Linked DNA regions of Caenorhabditis elegans. The protein of the gene in region 1 purifies or fractionates together with the protein of each later gene. This does not show direct contact. Each region holds a gene or a part of one and is shown on either strand. Other genes may lie near its edges. The genes, in order: flp-18 and mrps-28.

Region 1 (4,583 bases):
TGACTTTGTTGACTTGCTTACAATTAATTTTAATATTGATGCTCTCTCTGAAATGAAAGAAAAATTGTACAGTACTAGATTCATCAGTGTATTGGGAAAAGCAGTTTGAAAAAATCTTCATGATCCCAGATTCAATTAATCAAATCTGAAACTTGAAAGAGAATTAAGGACGGAAATTACCTGTGCACATGAAGTTGGTTATTTGATAATTCAAAAAACTTTTCTGCGTTTCAAATTTTTTGGAATCATTTTGATACACATGCTTCAAATTTTCAGCAGCTTCATGAATAGACTCATTTCACACTGGGTTCTGTTTAGACTTATCTAATCTGATAACTGACATAACACAAAGCATACTTTTTCATCGTTTGAAAGCTCAATGAATCAATTCCTAAAATGCACAGAGTTGGAGGTAATTATTCTTTTCAACACACGTCAACCATGAACAAATCTGCTTTTCAACATTGTTCAGAAAACAATTGATAGACACACAACTACATTACTCAAAAATTAGACGAACTGTGTTTGACGTAACAGGAAATGATTCATTTAATCGTATGGAGCTCTAGAATTGACAACGTTTAGTATCATTGTTGAAAAGAGACAAAAACTTAATATTAAGTGATTGAAATGAGACGCTCGGAAGAAAAGAAGAAAAACAACGAGATCATCGAATTGTCGCTGGCACATTTTACATTCACATTCATCTGAAACTTGATACATGTCAGACTGGCAAAATCTTATTTAGAAACTTACAATTTACTTCCGTCCGAATCGGAGAACACCTGGCACACTTTTCTTGAGCAAAACCCCTGCGTAATGCTCTTCCAAGTCGGATCGCTTTCCAAATCTGAAAACAAAAACCTTGGTAAGCTGGATGAAGTCTTAAAATGATCGGACCTCAATACACCGGGAACATCGCGTTTTCCGAAACGGAGAACTCCGGGCACTTCACTGCGCTTGTCGAACGAATCAGCCATGTAATCTCTCTTTCCGAATCTCAACACTCCTGGGATCTCCCGTTTGTCCATTGGCACATCACGTTTTCCGAAACGAAGAACGCCTAAAAACTGAGATGTTATTTGATTTAGAATAGATGATGATGCCACCTGGAACACTTTTCTTCTCATCGAAATATGAGCGTTTCCCGAAGCGAAGAACTCCTGAAAGTCAATTTTCAGTATGCAATAAACCAACAAGGAACTACTTACCTGGAACACTTTTCTTCTCGTCAAAATATGCACGTTTACCGAAACGGAGCACTCCCGGCATTTCTTTTTTCTGCACACTGCTTTCTCTTTTTTCCCAAACACCTCCACGTTTTCCAAAGCGCAACACACCTGGCATCGCCCCATCAAAGTCTGAAATTAGACAAAAAATTGATGGTTAGTTGTACGAAGAATTTTGTACCTCTTTTTGAGAATACCCGACCGTCTTGTTTCTCGTTGGTCCGAGTCACTTCGATATCCTCTGCTGGTATGTCTTCTTCGACGATTTCATAGACTGAAAATATAAGTTGTTTCAATGTGCCGTCTTGTATTTAGGGCTGCCATATCGGACGTCCGGCGTCCGACAATTTCCGAGTTGAGCCACTCATTATAAAATTATATGATTATGTATAGTGAGTGGTCAAACTCGGAAGTTATCGGACGCCGTGAAAAACTACCCCTTGGAAAAAAAAGTTTGCGCCCCTATCGGACGCTAAGCGTCCAAATTCCTCCTAATTGCAGTTATGTATGTGTTTCGATCGACCTTACGAGAATTTTCAAAAATTTCAAATTCATGCTTTCAAATCGACACAATTCAATTGTGCACCCCTGTTGAAAAAAGAAACGAAAAAAAACACGTTTCTTGTTGATTGAAATCGTCGAAATACATCACTTTGGCAGAACGACAGCGTCATTTTACTTGGCTTCCCGCGTTGGTCTAGATGGGTACAGAGCACCATCGAACGAAACATGTCCCAACGGGCCCCGACAAGAAAGAATAAAAAACTCAGCATCCAACTCAACACTATCTTTCCACAATATCCATAGGCGCCCCCTTTTTTTCCCGCTACATCTTGTTTTCATCCAAGCGTTTTTCCTTCCAAAAATACATTGGGCCACTCTAGATTATAGAAAGTTTGAAGGTCAGTGGAAACACTTTTCAATAAGACAATAACACCAAGTCTAGAGATTCACGGACCGTGGGAAGCAGCGAAGATTATTCATAGGTCTCACTGGAAAATGAATATCACAGAAGCTTATAAAAACTAATGAAGTTTCAATACGGATGCGATGTTTGAACACCGCGCAAAATTATTTCAGCTAACTACGTCAGGTCCAGAATTTTGAAAAAAAACTAATGTACGCGAAACCAACGTTTCGACAAACTACAAAGTTAAAAATTTTAAAATAAAATTCAAGATTACATTAAGACAAATTATTGCCGTCATTTTATTCAATCTTCCACGCTGATCTGGGGCTATCCAAACTCCCTTCAAACCCAATTAAGAGATTGGATCAGCCAAGACTTTTCTTTGTTTCGTTCATCAAGAACTTACTTGGTTCGGTATATGCGAGCGCCCCACGAAGCAAACAACACAGCGAAATGAGAAGAACGCCCGACCACCGTTGCATGTCTAACCCTGAAATTATTATTTTTAGTTGTTAAAGCAATCGTTATTGTAGTTAAATAATAAACGTCTTGATGCCAATAATATGAAATATGAGAGTATTAAGCTTCTAGCCTCTTTCCTCAAGAACGACATCCCATCAAATGACACTCGCTAAAAAGTAAACGAACATTTTTAGGAAGATACGAAGAAGGAAGAAGTCACACCAGATCCTGGATTCCCCGCCTTTTCTCGTTACCGTAGAAGGTGAAGCAATGAAAAGTGACACGCTGACATCTTGACGTGGCTCATGGGTCGAGGGGAAGAAGCTGAGGAACTCGGGGTGTGTGGTTTTGCGGAAACGCGTGTACAAGGTATTCGAAACACCCCCCCCCCTTATTTGAAAATAGTGTCATCGGTGAGTGGCACATTTATCTAATGAGATTTCACTCATGTCACTTCCTAGGCGGGAAATTCAAAAGTTCGAAAACAAATCGAAATTTTGAATTACTAAATGTGAGAGAATGATGGCGTATTTTTTTGTTTAATATTTGATCTAAGAAGAAGTAACTTGAATAGACATAACTTTCGATCTTTGGAAGGAATTTTAAGGCTTGGGAGGAAGATTTTTCATTCAAAAAAAAACATAATTGATCAGCCCGTTCAGACACAAAAAAGACTATTTTGAAAATTGAGAAACACGGTAAGCTGAAAATTTAAAAACTTCTTTGGTTTCAGTCCTATTTATATGAGGGGTGGGATCTATTCGAACGGACCATTGAGTTGAGGCTCCGCCCCTCCTAAGAAACAACGACGTCATTTCTTTTTTCATGGTGGAAAAAAGCACTGATGTAGAGAATAGTTGAAGAAAGTTAGAGTTGTAGAGAAATAAGAAAAAAAGACACAATACAATTGAATAAATCGGGTGGGACCAGTAAGAACTTCAATTGTGCGGAGTTTATCTGCACAGGTTGTGGCGCAGCTAACGAAAAGAAGATTATCTTTTTTTTCCTAAATTCTCAGCGCACGTAACACACACGTCGTGTCATCGTCGAATCTCATTTCGGGGGTAGATTTCAAATAGATTGGCTGGTTTCCACTCAATTTAAAGAGGGTCAAGCCCACGCGTTGATTGAGGGAAGACTACAACATCTACTTGAGCTGAGTCAAATAACACGAACCCGCCAAAACACAACTACAACACACGCTACCTTTGAAGATGATCTATGAATATTCATAGAGTAAGCTTGGAAAAAAATCAGTGCAAAAATCTATTCCGCCCAGGTCATTATATTGTAATTCAATTGATCTACTAACACTTATTGGCAAAATTAGCTTTGGGCTTGTATCTGATCATTTTACAAAATAGAACATTCGGCTCATAAAAAGTAAGATTAAAGAAAGTTAGAAAATAAAGGTTCCGTCTCAGAAGTGAACTTGAACTGAGAAGTAGTAATAGTGTATATTAAACTGCAAAAGGTGGCATTGAAAATCATAACAATAGGTTCAAGCTTTATTTTCATGTTTTCGTGACCCTATTCCGGCTAAGCTGGGATATTTATAGAGACTGGTTAATATTCAGTAAAAAGTTGTAAGTTTTACTTTTTCATGACCATGTGGGCTTTCAATTAGCCATGTCTTAATTAACTTCATAAGAACGACGGAGTTTCATGCATCTTTCTAAACATACGAAATGTGAGATTAATTTATTCGCAGTGTGACAAACTTTAAAATTATTGTTAATTTCAGGCACTAATAAAGAATTTTAAAAATTCATTAAAAACATCAAAATCAAAAAACAGTCCGGAATTTTTTTAAAAAAATCTCACTTTGAAATTTATCTTTTTGAGATAACCTGTGAGTTTTTAGAACAATGCAGAAGTTTGCAGTTAAATTTTGGTTTTAAAAAATTGAGAAAAGTAAACGTGAAACGACGCAGAAATTTGTGTTCAGTCAAGAGCACAATTTTTTAAGAAGTTAGTTAGAA
Region 2 (4,151 bases), on another chromosome or scaffold:
AGTTCATATGCATAATTATAAAAATAGCTCCATGAAAACTAGCTGAAAAACTCGAAAATCGAAATTAGCCGAAAAATTAGCCGCCTTTAGTCACTCACCAACTCAAACTCTTTTTCGATTTCATCTTGGGATCGTGGTGTAATTGCAGTCGGTGGTTTCTCCTGTGCAGCTGTACAAAGAACAACGAGAAGGAAGACGAAAATGTGCACCAGGATCATTGTTGAAGTTTAGAAAACTCGAACTGATTGAAACTGGAGAGTTGGATGATATTTATATAATATTCCACGATATGGGCCACGTTTTGGAATTTTAATATATTTGAGAATTTGAAATTGAAACTATTTTTGAAAATTTCACGTCGGAAAATAATTTTTTCTATTTTTCTGTAAATCAATTAATTTCTATGTTCAATGAACAAAAATGTAGAAATCGAACGTAAAAATTTGAAGTTCGCGCTTGAAAAAGCGCGCTCTACAGAAAATCATACAAGTTTTAACTGCAAACGCGCCCCAATGATTACTTTTTGGGATATTCGAATTTCCTTTCACCTGAAATTTGCGAAAAGTCAGTTCTAGGCGGGAAATTCAAATTTTCAGTCAATTTTTGGCGGGAAATTCAAAAATTCAAATTTCCAGTCATTTTTTGGCGGGAAATTCAATATTATCCATATTTTATTGAAAAAACAACAAAAAACAGGCAACAATTAATGGGGGATTTCTAGGCTAAAATTGATAAAAAAAAGTACACGTGGAAAGTGAAAATGTGAAATTTTCTAGAAAAATTAGTGTGCCGCCGGTGTTTCTGGAGCCGCTGGAGCTTCTTCTTCCGTGGCGCCACGTGGCTTCTGCCGTTGCTGCTGCTGACGTGGCACATTTGATAGAAGACGTACGAGCACTGCGTCAGCCTCAAGAAGTGTCAAATCGTGTTTGGAGCCCAAAAATCGTTCGCTGAGCTCCGGGTCGATGAGACGAATGAGCACACGGGCTCCGCTGCGGTAGGCTCTGGAAGAAATAGATTTTTTTGGAGAAATTTGAGGAAATTTGAGGATATTTTTGTGGGAAATCGGGGTTTTTTGGGTGAAAATCGGGGTGTTTTGGGTGAAAATCGGGGTGTTTTGGGTGAAAATCGGGGTTTTTTGGGTGAAAATCGGGGTTTTTTGGATGAAAATCGGAGTTTTTTGGATGAAAATAGGAGTTTTTTGGGTAAAATTTGACGGTTTTTGGGTAAAAATCGGGGTTTTTTGGGTAAAAATGGTTTTTTGAAAGAAAAATCGATATTTTCATAAAAATTTAGTTAATTTAGCGAAAAATCGCCTGTTTTCCATGGAAATCAAGGGTTTTCCCATAAATTATCAATCATTTTTCAAGAAAATTTGGTTTTTCGCTGAGAAAATCGGGATTTTCCTTGAAAATTTGGATTTATTTTGATTTTTCCTGGAAAACGTGGATTTTTCGCGAAAATTAGGAGTTTCTGGCAAAAAAACGGGGCTTTTCTCGTGAAATTTACGGTTTTTGGTGAATTTTGGAGAAAAATGGGTTTTTTTCCCGTTATTTCCGGAGAAAATCGCTTATTCTCCGTAAAATTCAGGTTTCTTTTGATTTTTTTCCGGAAAAATAGACTTTTTCACCGAAATTCGAGCGTTTTCCGGGGAAATTAGCGTTTTTTGAGCTAAATTTGACGTTTTTCACTCTAAATTCCAATTTTTCTTGGCAAAAATCGCAATTTCTCGGCAATTTCCATCACGTACTCCGAATTCAGCGCCGGAACTTTGCAAACAGCGTTGAATTTCAGTCCAAAATCAATGTAGACGTCTTCTTGAACGCGTTGAGCGATTTTTCCGACGACGAGGCGCCCGTTAAAGTCGCCGAGTTGCATGAATTTCGAGTTTCGCAGCAGAGAGGCGAACGATTGGTTCTGAAAATCGAAAAATTCGCGGTTTTTAACCCCAAAAATCGTGTAAAAACCTGCGCTTCCGAGGTTTCAGTGACAGTGTCGACGAAATCAATGATACTCTCGTTTCCCTGGCTTGTGGAGAGAGCTCGGAGCTCTCGGAGCCCGCAAATCACCTGTCGAGACTTGAGCAAGCTTCGGAGCATCTGAAAAATACAGTAAATCAATTTTTTCGGTGAAATTTGCAGTTTATTAAGGGAAAATCCCTCATAAACGAGTAACTGTCGTATAATTAAATGCCTGGTCCGCAACGGTGTTTGCGTACTTGTCGACCGTACCCCTCTCATCGCATTTTCCATTATTTGAAAAAAATCGATAATTTAACTCAAATTTTCTCAATTTTCGCAATTTCAGAATGATTTTCAAGCCGATTTCGCTCATAATTGCGTTAATTTTGCCAATTTTCACACTTGCCGAGTGGAAAATCACGCTGGAATATAGTTTGAACGGTTTGTAGTTGGAAATTTGATTTTTTCGGATTTTTAACTAAATTTTCTCTCGTTTTTCAGAATTCACAAATAGCTATCCACTTGGAAGCATTGAAATGAGCCGCGCATTCGACGGAAACTACACGGGAACCTTCAAACCGGCTCAGGAGCAAAATTTCGGGCAAAAGTATGGGGATTTTCCGGTTTTCTTCGCTTTTTTAGCCGATTTTTTGTGTGAAAAATGCGAAAAATAGCATAATTTCAGGCTTTTCGAAGCTCAAAATGGCGTTTATTCGGTTCGAGCACGGTCGAGCACACAACCCGGACAGAATTTCCTGACGACTAGCGATCCGGTCGGTTTTTCGACTTTTTCGGCGAAAAAATCGAGAATTTCGGTGGAATTGGAGTGAAAATGCAATTTAAAACTGAAAAATTGAGTAAAATTGGTGTAAATTTCGTGAAAAACTATGGTTTTTCGATTTTCCCGTGGAATTTTGACTGGAAAACAAAAAAAAAATCGCAATTTTTCCCGAAAAATTCGAATTTTCAGTCATTTTTCCGCGGGAAAATTAAAATTTTCACAGTTTTCCAATGCTAAATCAACGAAAAAACCGGATTTTTCCGATTAGAAAACCCTTAAAATCCGCAAAAATTCGACCCCTCGGCCACCGCAGCCATGTCTACGCCCTCCCTCACCTCGTACAAGTTGCTACCCGTGGCTTAGTGGCTAACGCGCTCGCCTGCCGCCCACAGCTTCCGGGTTCGATTCCCACCCACGGCAACAAATTCCAATTGTGTGTAACATTCAATGCAATTGAGCCGACGCCGTGGGAAATCACTTTCGTGGAACCATTTGATCCCACGCTCGTTACTGTTAATGATTGTGGTTTGCACGTGGTTTACAATTTTTCGCACTTTTTTTAAAGGTTTTTACGGGATTTTTGTTTGAATTTTTAACCAGAAAAATTCAAAAATTGGCTAAAAAACTTCTGACAAAATGACAAAATGAACACATTTTTAGTCAATTTTCGGCGGGAAATTTAAAAATTCAAATTTTCAGTCAATTTTCCACCGAAAAATTCAATTTTTTCACGGAAAATGCCAAATTTTCACTCAAAATTGTGGAAAACATGATATTTTTCGTGAAAAAATCATATTATTCCAGAATTTTTGGCGTAAAAATGCAAAAAATCAAAAAAAAAAATTTGCAAAAAAAATTTTTTGTTTAAAATTTCAAACTTTTAAACGAAAATTGTGACTTATGTGTGCAATTTGGCAGTTCCCCCGAATTGCCGAATCGCACCCATTTGTCACCGGAGATGCGGAAGCTATGCCCAAATTTTCCATTTTTTAGCATTTTCCTCATGTTGTCGTCTTGTGTAAAAATTGTTGAAAAACAATGTTTTTGTTAAAAAAATGGAGCCTTTTCTATTAAAAATTTCAAAAAAAAATTTTTTTTTTGGACTAAAAAAAATTCTCAAAAATTTTTTTTTTTTTTGATATTTCGAAAAATTTCATCCAACGTTTTTCCAACCAATCCAAAAAATTGTGACTCATGTGTGCAATTGGTAGATTGGTGGCTCAAAATCTAGAAATCCGTAGGTTTTGTTCCCCCGAATTGCCGAATCGCACACATTTGTCACCGGAGATGCGGAAGCTATGCCCAAATTTTCATTTTTTGGCATTTTCCTCATTTTTTCTGAGTAAAAATTGGTAAAAGACAATGTTTTTGTTAAAAATGGAGCTTTTTCTATTTTTTTTTGGACTAAAAAA

The links.
Region 2: the proteins of flp-18 (region 1) and mrps-28 fractionate together in Caenorhabditis elegans (co-fractionation; one large-scale study listed by BioGRID). This does not show direct contact.

What each region holds. Positions count from the first base shown.
Region 1 is NC_003284.9:3,011,658-3,016,240, forward strand, and holds flp-18 (SVPGVLRF-amide 3), read right to left. Parts: upstream 2,630-4,583; 5' UTR 2,622-2,629; coding exon 2,546-2,621; intron 1,504-2,545; coding exon 1,411-1,503; intron 1,362-1,410; coding exon 1,212-1,361; intron 1,164-1,211; coding exon 1,110-1,163; intron 1,064-1,109; coding exon 901-1,063; intron 851-900; coding exon 760-850; 3' UTR 757-759; intron 708-756; 3' UTR 533-707; downstream 1-532. UniProt on the Caenorhabditis elegans protein: FMRFamide-like neuropeptides. Ligand to G-protein coupled receptor npr-1. Involved in modulating locomotion quiescence during the sleep-like state called lethargus which occurs during molting between larval and adult stages, acting via npr-1.
Region 2 is NC_003283.11:19,642,184-19,646,334, reverse strand, and holds mrps-28 (Mitochondrial Ribosomal Protein, Small), read right to left. Parts: upstream 2,097-4,151; coding exon 1,965-2,096; intron 1,915-1,964; coding exon 1,748-1,914; intron 1,002-1,747; coding exon 782-1,001; 3' UTR 659-781; downstream 1-658. Other genes in the region: Y43F8C.9 (MS Related Protein), read right to left, coding at 99-218; Y43F8C.7 (ER membrane protein complex subunit 10), read left to right, coding at 2,306-2,399, 2,460-2,565, 2,644-2,731.